2 linked regions of the Arabidopsis thaliana genome follow. The protein of the gene in region 1 interacts with the protein of each later gene in a pairwise test. Each region holds a gene or a part of one and is shown on either strand. Other genes may lie near its edges. The genes, in order: LURE1.2 and AT4G08850.

Region 1 (6,604 bases):
GCCAGCTGTGCCTCACAAGACAAATCTCACCTCCCTTAACGTAAACAAAAGACAAGATCAAGCCATTTTGCTGTCAATGCTCACCTATGATTTTAGTCTTGAAAATCTTTTGTTTGGTTATGTCAGGTTCCACCAATGGGTCTGTTTTATCCTAACCTTTTGGTCCCTGAAATATTTCCCCAGCCACCACGTCAATGGTCAGAGTTAAACCTTCTTATATTCTTCTCTTTGGTTTAGTTGTCGACCGAGAGATACTCATTTGAAACCTATTGTTTAGGTTTCAAGACTACGAGAATATGTTGGAAGACACTTGGAACATGGACTTTGGAGGTGGTGGTAACATGGGATTACCAATGTGGGATAGTTTTGCATTTTCGCCTTCAAAACCAAAGAAAGAAGAGAAGATTGGTCTCGCTGAAGCCATTACAAGCAGCATTCTCTCTGCTGGTATATGTTGTGATGCACCCTCCTGCATTATATAAAAATCAACACCTAACAAAAACGTTATCCTTTTCTTCTTCCTTTGCTTGTAGGACGCATAGACCTTAGACGGAAGCTTTTCTCCAGCATTCAATTGGTAGATCCTGAAAACCTTTTTTTTTACACACTCAAGTTTTCGCCATGTACTTCCTTAAAATCATGTGCTACCATGTAACTCTTCATACATGAATGTGTTACCTTGGAACTCTCTCTCTCTTTTGGCTTCTCAGATTGGTGGTGCTGGTTTGACGAAAGGTCTTGTAGCGGCAGTGGAAGAAAGGTTTGCTCGTTTCCTTTACCAAACATTTCGTTTTCTAACATCCAGAAGGCACATCCAACTAAACAGAGTATTTTGTTCAACTAATGTTTATGTCCCTCTCTCCTTTGCGTTTCAGAGTTCTTCACGCGATACCTCCAACTGAAGCCATTGATACAGTGCAGGTTCTGCCATCAAGAACGGAGCCACAATTCGTAACTTGGAAAGGAGGAGCGGTACGTTTGCATTTGTTTGCATCTTTTATTTTCTTACCACTCTTGATTTTGTGTATTTATGTACTGAAATTTGAGACAGATATTGGGAATTCTGGACTTTGGGAGGGAGGCTTGGATTGAGAGACATCAATGGATGGTAAATGGGGTTAATAAAGGTGGTCTAAAGAAGTACAAAGACTCTTATCACCTTCAAGGTCAAGCAATGTACTTCATCAACCCCTAGTTTCTGTCTATATCTTAAGCTTTCTCTGTTTCTTATCAGAATACTTTTACTTGTCATAACTCAAAACCAAAAACAAAAATTCTCAGAGTAAATGTTATTTTGCTAAGATATTCTCAGAGTTTGGATTGATTCGAGGCATATAAGAATTTAACTGATTTGGTCATCTTTAAGATCATAACTATTAATAAGGAATCCAAAAGTTATTTAAGGTTTTGTTAGAAAAGCAAGATAGGCATCATGAGTTAGTATATATATATATATATATATATATAATATAGAACTTTTTGATTTTTTTTAATCAAACTATATTATATATATATATGTCTTAGTTCCTAATAAAATGTAAACTTCAATAGAATTTTTGAAATATAAAGTTTTAAACCTGTAATTGTTTGCACTTATTAGATGTATATTACTATTTATACCAATATATAACAGATTTTAATAACTAAACAATTATAATTTTTTAACAAAAACAAACGTAATAGGTTACTGAAATTTACTTTATAACAAAATAAAACGTTTAAATGAAAATTAACTCTTTATATAACATATTTATCTACAGAGCCTATAAATATGACTAAATATTGCTTTAATACTCCAGAGCAAAACAAAAGAAAAACGATTCACAATAATATTTAATATATTTTCTTTGTGATATTGGTTAATTTCTACCAAGAAATGAAGTTGCCTATTATATTCTTAACTCTATTAATTTTTGTTTCTTCATGTAAGTCTAAATTATTTAATTAGGATAATGTGTCAGTATTATAATCATTATAAAAACTGTTTAAGAATTTGATATATCTTTTAAAAATTTGATAGGTACATCAACACTTATAAATGGATCTAGTGATGAAGAGAGAACATATTCTTTCAGTCCAACAACAAGTCCTTTTGATCCACGCTCACTGAACCAAGAACTTAAAATTGGGAGAATTGGTTACTGTTTTGATTGCGCAAGAGCTTGTATGAGACGGGGTAAGTATATTCGTACATGTAGTTTTGAAAGAAAACTTTGTCGTTGCAGTATTAGTGATATTAAATAAGGCATTGTAACTTTGTTAAACATTAATAAAAAAACAAATTATATTACTGTTTAATGTTCATCCATGCTCTTCTTTTTACAATAATGAAAATGTATAATAATCTAAAAGTTTTGTAGTGTGCACTTAACATGAAATTTATTGGAGTTAATAAAGGCTGTCTAAAGAAGTACAAAGACTCTTATCACCTTCAAGGTCAAGCAATGTACTTCATCAACCCCTAGTTTCTGTCTATATCTTAAGCTTTCTCTGTTTCTTATCACAATAACTTTTACTTGTCATAACTCAAAACCAAAAACAAAAGTTCTCAGAGTAAATGTTATTTTGCTAAGATATTGTATGTTTTGTCATGTATTTGATTGAACCCTTTCTCTCTACACAACAAAACCAATTTCTAAGGGAGTTTTATTTTAGATTTATGATGGTTTAAAGAGAGAAAAAAAAAAAAAAAGTAGTTACAGTTTTTTGTCCCACATCGGCAATACGAGAGGGAAGGAGAGCAGAGAAGGGCTTATATAAAGAAGATGGGCCTCACCGTTAGAAATTAAAAAGGGTCGGATGGCTATTTATGCCACGCTCAGCCTAAGATAAGGGGTGAGTGCTGTATGGCAAAATCAAGACATATGGCCGACATTATTTCTGGAACAACCCATGGGTTGGCTCGCTCGGCCGACCCTCCAAATTACAATTAAAAATAATTAAAATTTGTTTATCATACGTTCGGCGTAATTGTTTACTATAATTAGATAAAGAATCCATTTTAATTCCCTCAACTAAAGTATTATTGACAAATACTTTATTCTATATACATTTAAAACTCCAAATGACTATCGTTAAATCTATATCATTTTGATTTGTTAAAATGCAATTTTTTTTTGTTTTAAGGACAACATTAGAAACATGATGTAATCGATTGGGAATATAAAACAGTTTGTCAATATAACTATGACTACCATTAATAATTTAAACCTAACACCTTGCTCACATACAATACTCCATGCATATTGCATAGGTCGAATCAAATTAAACCAAAAATCTATATATTTTGTGATATTAATTCTGACCGATCATTAAAATTTACTGTATACTGTATTTAGTAGTTGTCGTCAACTTGTTTACAAAATGTTTAAGTGATCAATAATTAAAAAACAAATTGAAATCAAAATAATTTTACCATTCACAATTTAAACTTAAACGCTTTGCTCACATATCATATTGCATTGCTCACACGCTTTCATCACATTACCATTCGACAGGAAAGAGTAAAAGTGTTAAATCACCACCACCCGATTGAGGAACAAAATTCTACATATTATGAAATGTTTTTTTTTTAACTTTTATAATAATGAAAAAACTTAATACCAAATCTTCTTAATAATCAGGTTACAACTTTAAATACTTTTGTTTCTAAAACTTTTTAAAAATAATTTGTTTCTATAGATAAAAAAATGAAAGGTGTTTGTTCAAAACAAATATGAAATAAGGTGATTTAAAGAATTTTCTTATTAATAAATAATTTAAGCAATTTATAACTAAAAGATATATACATATGTAGAAAGAGTTTGGATTGATTCGAGGCATATAAGAATTAAACTGATTTGGTCATCTTTAAGATCATAAATATTAATAAGGAATCCAAAAGTAATTTAAGATTTTGTTAGAAAAGCAAGATAGGCATCATCAGTTAGTATGTATATAAGATTTTGTTAATCAAATTATAGTATATATTATGTATTAGTTCCTCAAATTAAATATTTTAAATAAAATGTGGGCATCAATAGTAATTTTTAAATTTAAAGTTTTAAACCGGTAATTGTATGCACTTATTAGACGTAGGAAGATTTGCAAAAGTACCATTTTTCTACTACATCATGCAACAATACCTTTTTCAACAATCTTTTGCAATAATACCATTTTCTGTTGTCCATTTTTAAAAATACTCATTCTCTTGAACAAAATAACCAAATTACCCTCATTTAATGAGAACACATAATTAGAAACAGAAATTTTGGCGCCAAAGTTTTTTTCCCCCCAAAATGGTTTTCCCTCCAAAAAAAGTTTCCCACCAAAAAGAATTTCCCGTAACAAAATTTTTCCCAACTAAAAACTTCATTTAAAAACCCTTGTAAATCATTTTAAAACCTCTTAAAATCTTTATACAATCTTTAAATACATATAAAAATACTTTAAAAACCTTTGTAAATCATTTTATAACCTTTTACAATGGTTTTAAAAGATTTACAAGAGTTTTTAAGAAGTTTTAAAAGGATTTTAAATCCTTTTAAAATCTTATTAAAACTCTTATAAAGTCTTTAAATCATTTTTAACTTTTTAATAAAATTTGTAAATATTTTTAAAAATTTGTAAATATTTTAAAACATTTGTAACTCTTTTTTACCATTTTAAAAGTCTTGTGAACCCTTACAAAAGGTTTTAAAAAATTTACAAGTGTTTTTAAAGGGTTTTAAAACCTTGTAAACCATTTATAAATCTTAAAAAAAAACTTGTAAACCCTTTAATAAACTTTTAACCATTTTAAAAGTCTTGTGAACCCCTTACAAAAGGTTTTAAAAAAATTTACAAGAGTTTTTAAAAGATTTTAAACTTGTAAATCTTTTAAAAATCCTTGTAAATCCTTTAAAATCTTTGTAAACCCTTTCATAATTTTTGAACCATTTTAAAAGTCTTGTGAACCCCTTACAAAAGGTTTTAAAAATTTTTACAAGAGTTTTTAAAAGATTTTAAACTTGTAAATCTTTTAAAAATCCTTGTAAATCTTTTACAATCTTTGTAAACCCTTTAATAATTTTTGAACCATTTTAAAACTCTTGTGAACCCCTTAAAAAAAGTTTTAAAACGATTTACAAGAGGTTTTAAAGGGTTTTAAAACTCTTGTAAATTCCTTAAAAAAAATTTTAAAACCCTCGTAATTTTTTAAAAAATCTTTTAAAACCTTACCCGCTAAATTTGTTTTTTGTGGGAAAATTTTTTTTGGAATAAAAAATTTGGCGGAATATTTTTTCGATATTACTTTGGCGGGAAAATGTATTTCAAAACTTTTTGTGGCGAAAAAATTATTTTAGGAATATTTTAAGTGGAAAAATCAATATTTTATTTTGTTAACCTAAAATATTTTCCAAATAGAGGTAAAATGGTCACCAAAAATAAAAAAAAGGTAAAAATGAAAATGACAAACAAGAAAGGGTATACTTGAAAATGGGTAATGTTGAAACCGCATTCTTAGCAATTATTCTTAGATGTATATTAATATTTATACCAATATAAAACATATTTTAATAACTAAATTATTAAAATTTAAAATTGAAAACAAACGTAATAAGTTACTGAACTTTCCTTTATAACAAAATAAAACGTTTTAATGAAAATTAACTCTTTTATAACATATTTATCTAGAGAGCCTATAAATATGACTAAATATTGCTTTAATACTCCAGAGCAAAACAGAAGAAAAACAAAATTCAAAACGATTCACAAAAACATTTCATATATTTTTTTAGTGATATTGGTTAATTTCTACAAAGAAATGAAGTTGCCTTTTATATTCTTAATTACTCTATTAATTTTTGTTTCTTCATGTAAGTCTAAATTATTTAATTAGGATAATGTGTCAGTACTATAATCATTACAAAACCAGTTTAAGAATTTGATATATCTTTTGAAAATTTGATAGGTACATCAATACTTATAAATGAATCTAGTGATGAAGAGAGAACATATTCTTTCAGTCCAACAACAAGTCCTTTTGATCCACGCTCACTTAACCAAGAACTTAAAATTGGGAGAATTGGTTACTGTTTTGATTGCGCAAGAGCTTGTATGAGACGGGGTAAGTATATTCGTACATGTAGTTTTGAAAGAAAACTTTGTCGTTGCAGTATTAGTGGTATTAAATAAGGCATTGTAACTTTGTTAAACATTAATAAAAAAACAAATTCTGTTACTGTTTAATGTTCATCCATGCCCTTCTTTTTATAATAATGAACATGTATAATAATCTAACAGTTTTGTAGTGTGCACTAAACATGAAATCTATTGGGAAACATAAGTCCATGACAACTAAATAAATATTTGAAAAAAAACATATTCAACATAACCAAGAAAACTGTTAGTTTTTTCTAAACATTTTACATTTAAACAAATTTCTTTAGCTCATTTTTACTATAAATCTATTTTATTATATAAAATATGGTTTTCAAAGTTTTGAAAGGGTCAAAGATTTTAATCACCCCCACATCTCAACATAGATAAGGTTCCAATATGTTTAATTATTTTGCATATTTACCTAAAACCTTCTGAGTTATGATAGACAAAATTAAAGAAAACAAATCTTCAAATCAGCTTA
Region 2 (10,431 bases), on another chromosome or scaffold:
TCGAACGGTCCAAAGCGGTATCTAGCAGTTTGTATGATTGGTGCCAATCGCTAACAACCGCTACCACCCGCAAATGCAGCGTTTGCGGATGGCAGAGGGAAAACCAATCAAGCCCTTAATTGTTCCTTAAAAACAAGAGAAAACGCGTTACAAAAGCTCAAAGGACTGTTTTCCTCTTCTTCCTTTTTTTTATATATAATAATCTTATTTTAACAGAATTATATTGAATAATAAAAACGAAAACTAAAGAAGAGATGACATACGTGATATGTCATAGAATAAGAAGAATATGATATTAAGAAGAGTTAATTAAAAAATAAACCATAAGATGTTCTTAAAATTATAACTTTTTATGATGTAAAAATAAGTATCAGATAATACACAATTCGGATTTTCAACGAATTGGGTTATTGTTAACTTTTTATGAGAATGATTTCGTTATGGATTATAAATTTTTGGTTTTATATGCGTTTTAAATGATTGAATAGTTAGGATTTTGATGATGGTCGAGATGATTACAATTTACGTTTGAAAAATTAAGTGTTCGTGTAAACAATGGTGGAGCTTTTCTTTCTCGGCCAATAGAGTCACGTAAATCTTATTACCTACTAGTCATGCAAGCTAACCTTTGTTATTCAGTCTTCGCACTAAGTCTATACCTCAATCAATCAATTCTTCTATTTTTTGTCAAGTTTCTAGTTGTCTTTGAATTTCTTTTCTAATTTTGTCTGGCTTCTTCTATACGAAAATGACTTGGTTTCACACATTATTTTCCAAAGAAAATTATAACGAATGCTATCTTAATAACTATTTAGGATTTACATACTTGAACTAAGAAATAATATATTAACAATTCAATACAAAGAAAAAAAAAACATACAATACAATAAGAAGGTCCATGAGATTACATTGAGGGGACCAGTTGATTGTACATGACCATACCTTGTGCAAGACTTCAAAAGTCAATCCTTTTTGTCGTAGATCTCTTCCCTAAAAGTTGAATTTCTATTATTTTTACCAAAGTATATTTGACAAAAATAAAACTAAACCTCTTTTGTTATTTACAGTGATAAGGAAATTCGAGATTAAAAAATAAAAAAAAAGAATAATAATAATAATTCGAGATGTTAAATCTACATATGGTGATCTTGACTCTTGAGGCGTCCGTGTTTTATTTAAGTTTCGTATTTTTTAGGTTTGAACTTACGTTAAAGGGACTTCCGCTAAGCATTCTAGTCAGTCTGAAGATCTTTTTTTCCCTTACTGCTCTTGTTTCTAGCCATGTTCTGCTTAGGTGAGTCTTTTTTATCGAGTTGATTCTTAAGTAACCTTTACTACTTAAGAATTTAGTGATGATTTGATTTTCGAATGTATATACTTTCATAATTCTTTAGCTTTTTTGGTATGGGACGGTATGGGACCATATTTTTAGAATTTACTTTGTAATTTCTATATCTTTCATTTTTTGAAATGATATTTACATTCTTATAAGAAAAATAGTTTCTTATTTTATGGTACAAGTTGTTAAAAAATCACACAATAAAGTTAAGAGATATTTTTAAGAAAGATTTGTATTATATTACTATACTAAAAGTAACATCAATGCATTTTCCCATTGTTGAAAAAACTAATTAATCTTATCGTCCAAATGAACATGACTAACCCATATTTTATTTGCTAATGAAAAATTGACCATCGTTGTCAGTCCATATAAATCCACCAATCCTGCCGTCAATAACTTTTATATAAGTGTTTTTTTTTAAATACATTATAATATAACATTCAAAGAACTCATACATTATCTTTATACAAAAGTAGAAAACAACAACTTAAACAAGTCAGTAAACTATTTTTATATTAATGTGAATGTGTGTGTGAAGTGATAATTTCCGAAGATTTTGTTTGACAAAGTAAACGGCTAATAATTAAAGAGAGAATTCAAGATATTGACTTATTTGTCCTCTATTAACAAGTGACAACCCATAGTCAACTATCACGGACTAGTCAACGAAATCAATTTTCAGTTTATAAAAGACCGTAGAGAGATAATCTGCAACTGTATGAACAAAACAAACCCAGAAAGAAAAATATCACTAACCTCATTCAAAGAGAGAATGGCTTGTAAAGAAAAGCCTCGTGATCTTCAAGTTCTTTTGATCATATCTATAGTTTTGAGTTGTTCTTTTGCTGTTTCTGCAACGGTGGAAGAAGCTAATGCTCTTTTGAAATGGAAGTCAACTTTCACAAACCAGACAAGTTCATCAAAGCTATCTTCTTGGGTCAATCCAAACACAAGCAGCTTTTGTACCAGTTGGTATGGTGTTGCCTGCTCACTCGGGAGCATTATACGGTTGAATCTTACTAATACCGGTATCGAAGGTACTTTCGAAGATTTTCCATTCTCGTCTCTCCCCAATCTCACTTTTGTTGATCTCAGTATGAACCGTTTCTCTGGAACCATCTCTCCTTTATGGGGACGGTTCTCGAAACTCGAATACTTCGATTTGTCGATTAACCAGTTAGTTGGTGAAATCCCACCTGAACTTGGTGATTTGAGTAATTTAGATACTCTCCATCTAGTTGAAAACAAGTTAAACGGATCGATTCCTTCTGAGATCGGTCGGTTAACTAAGGTTACGGAGATAGCTATATACGACAATCTTTTAACCGGACCAATACCTTCTTCTTTTGGAAACCTTACCAAACTAGTTAACCTCTACCTCTTTATCAATTCTCTTTCTGGTTCAATTCCTTCTGAAATAGGAAACTTACCCAACCTTAGAGAGCTATGTCTAGATAGGAACAACCTTACCGGTAAAATCCCTTCTAGTTTCGGGAATTTGAAGAATGTAACTCTTCTCAATATGTTTGAAAATCAGCTCTCTGGTGAAATCCCTCCTGAGATTGGTAATATGACCGCTTTAGATACACTTAGTCTCCACACAAATAAGCTTACCGGTCCAATACCTTCTACCTTAGGAAACATCAAAACCCTAGCCGTTCTTCATCTTTACCTGAATCAACTCAATGGTTCGATTCCACCGGAACTAGGCGAAATGGAATCAATGATTGATTTGGAGATAAGTGAGAACAAACTCACCGGTCCTGTTCCCGATTCTTTTGGCAAGTTAACCGCGTTGGAATGGTTGTTCCTACGTGATAATCAGCTCTCTGGTCCCATCCCACCGGGAATTGCTAACTCTACAGAGCTCACCGTCCTGCAGCTCGACACCAACAACTTCACCGGTTTCTTGCCTGATACCATCTGTAGAGGTGGAAAGCTTGAGAATCTTACGCTAGATGATAATCACTTCGAAGGTCCTGTTCCTAAAAGCTTGAGAGATTGCAAGAGCTTGATCAGAGTAAGATTCAAAGGGAATAGTTTCTCCGGAGATATCTCTGAGGCTTTCGGAGTTTACCCGACTCTCAACTTCATCGATCTCAGCAACAACAACTTTCATGGACAACTTTCAGCCAACTGGGAACAAAGTCAAAAGCTGGTTGCATTCATCCTCTCAAACAACAGCATCACTGGAGCCATCCCACCTGAGATTTGGAACATGACACAGCTAAGTCAGCTCGATCTATCTTCCAACCGCATCACCGGCGAGCTACCTGAATCAATCAGCAATATCAACCGTATATCAAAACTCCAACTCAACGGGAATCGGCTATCAGGCAAAATCCCTTCAGGAATCAGACTCTTAACCAATCTTGAGTATCTTGATCTATCCTCAAACCGATTCAGTTCCGAAATACCCCCAACGCTCAACAATTTGCCAAGGCTCTACTACATGAACCTGAGCAGAAACGACTTGGATCAAACCATCCCGGAGGGGTTAACAAAGCTATCTCAGTTACAAATGCTTGATCTCAGCTACAATCAGCTCGACGGAGAGATCTCATCACAATTCAGATCTTTACAAAACCTCGAAAGACTCGACCTCTCACACAACAATCTCTCAGGTCAAATCCCACCAAGTTTCAAAGATATGCTAGCACTAACACACGTCGATGTATCACACAACAACCTCCAAGGTCCAATTCCAGATAACGCAGCGTTTCGAAACGCACCTCCAGATGCTTTTGAAGGTAACAAAGACTTATGTGGTAGTGTTAACACCACACAAGGCTTGAAGCCATGTTCAATCACATCCTCAAAGAAATCACACAAGGATCGAAACCTAATCATCTACATACTAGTTCCGATCATCGGAGCAATCATAATCCTCTCCGTCTGCGCCGGAATCTTCATCTGTTTCCGTAAACGAACAAAACAAATCGAGGAGCATACAGATTCAGAATCAGGAGGAGAAACATTATCAATCTTCAGCTTCGACGGCAAAGTCCGATACCAAGAGATCATCAAAGCAACAGGAGAATTCGATCCAAAATACCTAATCGGAACCGGAGGACACGGCAAAGTCTACAAAGCAAAGCTACCAAACGCAATCATGGCGGTGAAAAAGCTAAACGAAACAACAGACTCATCAATCTCAAATCCATCAACAAAACAAGAGTTTCTCAACGAAATCAGAGCACTAACCGAGATCCGTCACCGGAACGTCGTGAAACTCTTCGGATTCTGCTCGCATCGCCGCAACACGTTTCTGGTTTACGAGTACATGGAGAGAGGAAGCTTGAGGAAAGTTTTGGAGAATGATGATGAAGCGAAGAAGTTAGATTGGGGAAAGAGGATCAACGTTGTGAAAGGTGTGGCTCATGCTTTGTCTTATATGCATCATGATCGGTCTCCGGCGATTGTTCACCGTGATATTAGTAGTGGGAATATTCTTCTCGGCGAGGATTATGAAGCGAAGATCTCTGATTTTGGTACTGCGAAGCTTCTTAAACCGGATTCTTCAAATTGGTCCGCCGTTGCTGGTACTTACGGCTATGTTGCTCCAGGTACGCTTTTTGACCCGTTGGATAAATTGGTTGTGGATTTGACCCGGTTATGGTCGGGTCGGGTTGAAATTATGGTTAGATTTGGTTTATTCGGGTTAAATTTTAACCAAATAAAAACCAAAATGTTTTGTTTCGGTTTGAAGTTTTTTTTGACTATGGGTTGGATTTGGTTCAGTTTTTAACCAAAATTTTGTTGCAAATTAAGTAAACAACTAGAATTCATTATATTATAACCAAATAAAAACCAAAATTTTTGTAGGTAATGAAATTCCTAGTCTAATTTCTAGAAAGAAAAAAATAATGTTTTAAGTTTGGATTTGGTTCAGCTTTTAAATAAATGTAAAATTTACAAAAAAAAAAAAAAAAAAAAAAGAATTAGTGAAAATTATTATTAGATTATGTAATGATATTATATTTATATTTAATATATTGATTTTGAAACATAAATTATTCATGAATTTTGGTTAGAAAATCGATTTTACTTCGTTTTATTTTTTTGCCAAATTTCAAGTACTAAGCATTTCTATTTGATTCATTTTGGTATAGTTTGAGTTAGTTTAAAATGCAATTCCTATAAGTCTTATAAATCTGATTTATTATTTAGTATATATCATAAATAAAAATAATGATAGTGACTAACATGTTTGTGAAATTTGGATGTGACAGAACTAGCTTATGCGATGAAAGTGACTGAGAAATGCGATGTGTATAGCTTTGGAGTTCTAACACTTGAAGTGATCAAAGGAGAGCATCCAGGAGATCTAGTTTCAACTCTTTCATCCTCACCTCCCGATGCAACTCTGTCACTGAAAAGCATTTCCGACCACCGGCTACCGGAACCGACACCGGAGATTAAAGAGGAGGTCTTAGAGATTTTGAAAGTTGCACTTTTGTGTTTACATTCTGATCCACAAGCTCGCCCAACAATGCTCTCTATCTCCACTGCCTTTTCTTAAGAACTTGTCTCTTCTCTGACTCTCTCTAGTCTCTACCAAGCAGAAACTTTACACGTTGTAGTGTTTGTTTCTTTGATTATGGGTTAATATTTTTGTTTCATGGAATTTTAGTTTTTGTGATGAATTATATAATAGTTTGCATCTTTTGTATATATAATGTTTCTTTCTTTAATTTTTCTCACTAATAGATACAAAAAATATGTCAATGTTTTTGCTTGTGATTTTTTCTTTTTTTTTTTTAAATCTAATGTTAAATTATATTCAAAGAAAAAATATCGTTTTTACAACAAGTGCGATAAAATTTGAATTTGAGTAGAAACTGAAATTTGAGAAATCATAGAAATTCTTAATTTCAAAATAATGAGTTTTATATTTGAGTTTGTTAACATAGGGGTGTGTATTAAAAAAATTTAACCCTATCGAACCATCCGAAGTCCAAACTCAAACTAATCCAAGCCAAACCATAATCCATACACAAATCTCTTGGTTATGCTTTAATTAGACCCGAACAGTTTCGTTCGGTTTATAACTGGACCGGAACCAATGATCCGATCTACCTAGTATTTAGTATTATATAGTTGTTTTATTTCTAAAAGTTACTTAAGAGACGAAATACATACTAGTTTGCATCTTTTGTATATATATAGAATGTTTGCATCTTTCTTTAATTTTTCTCTTTAATAGATACAAAAGTATGTCGCGTTCTTGCATTTATTTCAAAATAGTGAGTTTTATTTGAGTTTCTTAACATAGGGTGTGTATTTTAACCATATTGAACTATCCGAACTCAAACAAATCCAAGTCGAACCATATTCGATGCACAAATCTTTTGGTTACACTTTAATTTGACCCGAATGGTTTTGTTCGGTTTATAACTGGACCGGAAACAATGATTCAATCTACCTAGTATTTAATATTAGAGTTTTCTGCAAAAAAAATCCTTAATTCATCCATTTTTACAACTTTACCTTCCACTTCCAACAAATACAGATTAATCCTATGAAATCTAAAATAATACGCAAGGTAATATTTTTTGCCTGTTTTTGCTATCATCAGTTTTGTAAAATATTGATATATAATATGTTAAATTGAAGTCCTTTTGACCAAGAGTTTAATTATACATTCAAAATCTTACAACTCTAATGTATGTGACCATAAAAACGTTAACAATATACATATAAGAATCATATTTCTTATTATTTTGGACTTCATAAATATAATCTGCGTTTGTTAGAGGTGAATGATAAAATTGCAAAAGTGGATGAGTTAGAAAATTTTGTTGTACAAAACCCTTAATATATAATTTTTTTTATTTCGAAAATTTACATGTAGTCTCCATATCAATCTTCAAATGACGGTAAGTTTGGTTTCATGCTCTATTGTATTTAATTTGTTTCGTTTTTCGAACCAAATCCAAACCAAACATAACTAAACCGAATAATACTACCTTTGATTTTGGATCCATCTAGTTTATTACCAACCAAATAAACCTAATCCAATCCGAAACCGAAAATAAACCAAATTACCTACCCCTTAAAGTTAAAAACCATGGGAAGAGCTTTCAGCTATAACACAAGGGAAGAGCTTATCTAGAAAGTTTTAAACAAGAGGCCGAAAATAAGGCCCATTGAAGAGCCCAGTTTCCTACGAATCAGCACGCAGACGTCACATGCTTGCCTAAAGAAGAATTATTTTGCTCTGCGTTTTGTGGCATTGTTTTGACATAAAAGGAAACGTAGGAGACAAGATTCAGGCGGTTATCGCGGTGGAGAAGATGTGGTGTGTTTTATGAACAAGTTTTGGATTGTAGTAACTTGTAATTTAGTAGGTTTGTACTTGCACAAAGAAAAAGAAAAAAAGTAACTTGTAATTTAGAGTTGTTATCTAAAGTCAAATAATTTTGTTGTTATGAAGAACTCGTAAAAGCTCTAAAGAAAAGGAGTATTTTTCTTTTTATTTTTTTGTCAAAAATGTCAGCGAGTAAGTTTAAGCCATAATGATCCAAGATAATAGCTTTGGGCGTTTGGGTATTAGGGTCGGGTTTGGGTCGAGTATTTCAGATTCATGTTTTTCGGGTTTAGAAATTTAATACATGATCTGGTAATTAAAGGGTTTGGTTCGGTTTATTTCTATATTAAAATATCAAAATTTTGTGTACAACCCTATTAAATTACTTGAAAATTTCAAAAATTATCAAAACAACATAAGTAATTTTGCTTGAATATATTTAAAAATACACAAAAATAACTAAAATATATGAGTATAAATATAACTAATATATACTTATATTTGAGATATGTTTGAGTATCTGTTCGGTTTCGGGTTTTTTGGATTTGGAAATTTAAACCTGTTCGGGTATTTAAAAATTTTGGGTTCGAGTTCTAATTAGAATTTTCGGGTCGGATTCGGTCGATTCTTCGGGTTTGGATATTATGTCCAGACCTACAAGATAGTGCTAAAAACAAAACATAAAATCATCAACTACTGCAAATGAGGATTACGCGTAATAATTATTATTTTAGTGTTATAATTATTATTATTTTAGCCAAATGAAATGTCTATCAACCAAACCAAAGCATAAATAGTTTTTATTTGGTTTCAATTTACTATAAACCGATAACATTGAAAACAGCAACACTGAGCCGATATCTAACCACAAAAACCATCTCCATCAATCTCTGTCTATATCTATGGACACAGTTTCAATTTCAAGACTACAAAAAACAACAGAAGAAAACACCCAAACAAAAGACAGAGACAACAAAAGAGCTCTCTTCTTCTTGTAAAGTTCATAGATAGAGAGAGACAACAAAAGAGCTCTTCTTCTAGTAAAGGATCAAAAGAGTAAGTCAAATCCTAGTTTAAGCAAAACAACAACACATTCCTTGCGTGAGGGGTTACATCATCTAAAACTCACTTCTTCCAGAGATTCTTGGAGAATATCCTCTTGCAATATGGAGTCATCTTCAGATTTTCATATCTTCTAACCTTCTCCACCAAGCTCGCTCGAACAAAGCCCTGTTCAATCCAATCAGTTCCGTTACTATGTTTTCGAGTCTGTTACCGATCACATGACTAAACTAACTAACCTTGGTTTTCGATAGAGCACACTGGATCACGTAATTAGCATAAGGGTCTTGAAGAAGATATCCGAAGTTTAGAACAGAGACGAGTTCATTCACAATCTGAGATCTGCTCTCTGGATAATACCTGAGACATTTCTCAACCACATGGCTACCAAACTTCTGTGTAGCTAACTTCACATAATTCCCTCTTAGCTCAAACAGTACATTCACTCCTCCAACCTTCTTCTCTATTATGTATTGCACCAAATAGTTCCTGTCATCATTTTCACATACACATACAAGTATTTTAGTAACAAACTATATATTATCAATGTGGAACATAGTGACATTATATGATTTTAAATAATACTATCACTTAAGGCATGTTTTGTTCATTAGACCCACTAGTTAACTATACATAAGATACTAACAGTATTGAATCTTGTAGAACGATATTGATATATATAAGTATTGTTACCCGAAAGGGTCTTGAGCAAGGAGAAGAGAGTTTCTGGATATTTCATCAACAAGCTTCTCATGTTGCTCCCCAACCGAGTACGAAACGCAGCGTTGAAGCACACAACATCCATGGCGAGTAGTCGCAATCTCTATGCAGAACTTAGTAGCAGCCTCCAAAATGAACTGTCACAAGCAAAAATATCATCAAGAGTTTTAAAAGAACATTATCAAGAACATGATTGAACTATTTAAGGAAGAGTTTTATGTTATAAACCTTGTTATCATTAGGACTAAAGAATTTCAAGCAATTTAGTATCACATGGTTTCCATTTAATTCTCTAAACAAAGAGAGAAATCCCGGTACAAGAGCTGACTTAACCAGACTGATTTGCTCCTTTGTAGTCACAGTCTCAATCAACTTCTGCACCACTCGTGTCCTGGACTCATTTTGAAAACATCAAACCAACAAGATTCAGCTTTTATCATAATATAAGCAAAACCAAAGATTTCCAAAAACATGTATCAACAAGTCAAGTCAAATGGTCTGAAAAATATTTAAAATGTTCTTTTCAAAGGTCTAAGATTTGTCTAAATCAGCAAAAACAATTCATCTTTTTTTCCATCAACAAAAATCTGACAATTTTTTCTTCACAAAGATCTCATTTTTCTTTCTTTCCTTAAATAGCTTAGGTTTCATCTTTATCGAAGAAAGAAAGATCTCATCTTTCCTCCACATATATGCAACAAAATTTCATGTCTCCTTAGTTCTTGTGCTTATGACAAAAAGCTTTTACTTTTCAGATCATTTAAATTCAAAATGCTTTTATACAATTACTATTATATAGTTTATATACAAAAGTGAAAATGGATAATGAAGCTTACCCATAATTGTTGATGGAGATTTTGACAAGAAGTCCAGGTTTTGAAGTCAACCTAATGAGAATCTGAGTTCTTTGTTCTTCATTGCAGACTTCAATAAGCTTCTGGATAAGATAGTTACCAAACGGATCCGTTCCAAGCTCAATGACATTATTAATCACTTC

The links.
Region 2: the proteins of LURE1.2 (region 1) and AT4G08850 interact in binary tests that used the Arabidopsis thaliana proteins (3 or more experiments, as listed by UniProt).

Annotation. Positions count from the first base shown.
Region 1 is NC_003076.8:17,472,235-17,478,838, forward strand, and holds LURE1.2 (Putative membrane lipoprotein), read left to right. Parts: upstream 1-1,814; 5' UTR 1,815-1,876; coding exon 1,877-1,925; intron 1,926-2,020; coding exon 2,021-2,244; 3' UTR 2,245-2,251; downstream 2,252-6,604. Other genes in the region: ARP9 (actin-related protein 9), read left to right, coding at 1-40, 127-197, 278-447, 534-577, 711-760, 876-972, 1,052-1,195; LURE1.3 (Putative membrane lipoprotein), read left to right, coding at 5,786-5,837, 5,933-6,156. UniProt on the Arabidopsis thaliana protein: Pollen tube attractants guiding pollen tubes to the ovular micropyle. Attracts specifically pollen tubes from A.thaliana, but not those from A.lyrata. Triggers endocytosis of MDIS1 in the pollen tube tip.
Region 2 is NC_003075.7:5,632,126-5,642,556, reverse strand, and holds AT4G08850 (Leucine-rich repeat receptor-like protein kinase family protein), read left to right. Parts: upstream 1-1,604; 5' UTR 1,605-2,060; coding exon 2,061-4,908; coding exon of another isoform or gene 4,909-5,090; exon of another isoform or gene 5,091-5,262; intron 5,263-5,574; coding exon 5,575-5,864; 3' UTR 5,865-6,078; downstream 6,079-10,431. Other genes in the region: PUM11 (pumilio 11), read right to left, coding at 8,778-8,882, 8,954-9,203, 9,408-9,571, 9,663-9,825, 10,271-10,431. UniProt on the Arabidopsis thaliana protein: Acts as a receptor of SCOOP peptides from Brassicaceae plants regulating multiple processing including plant growth, development and stress responses.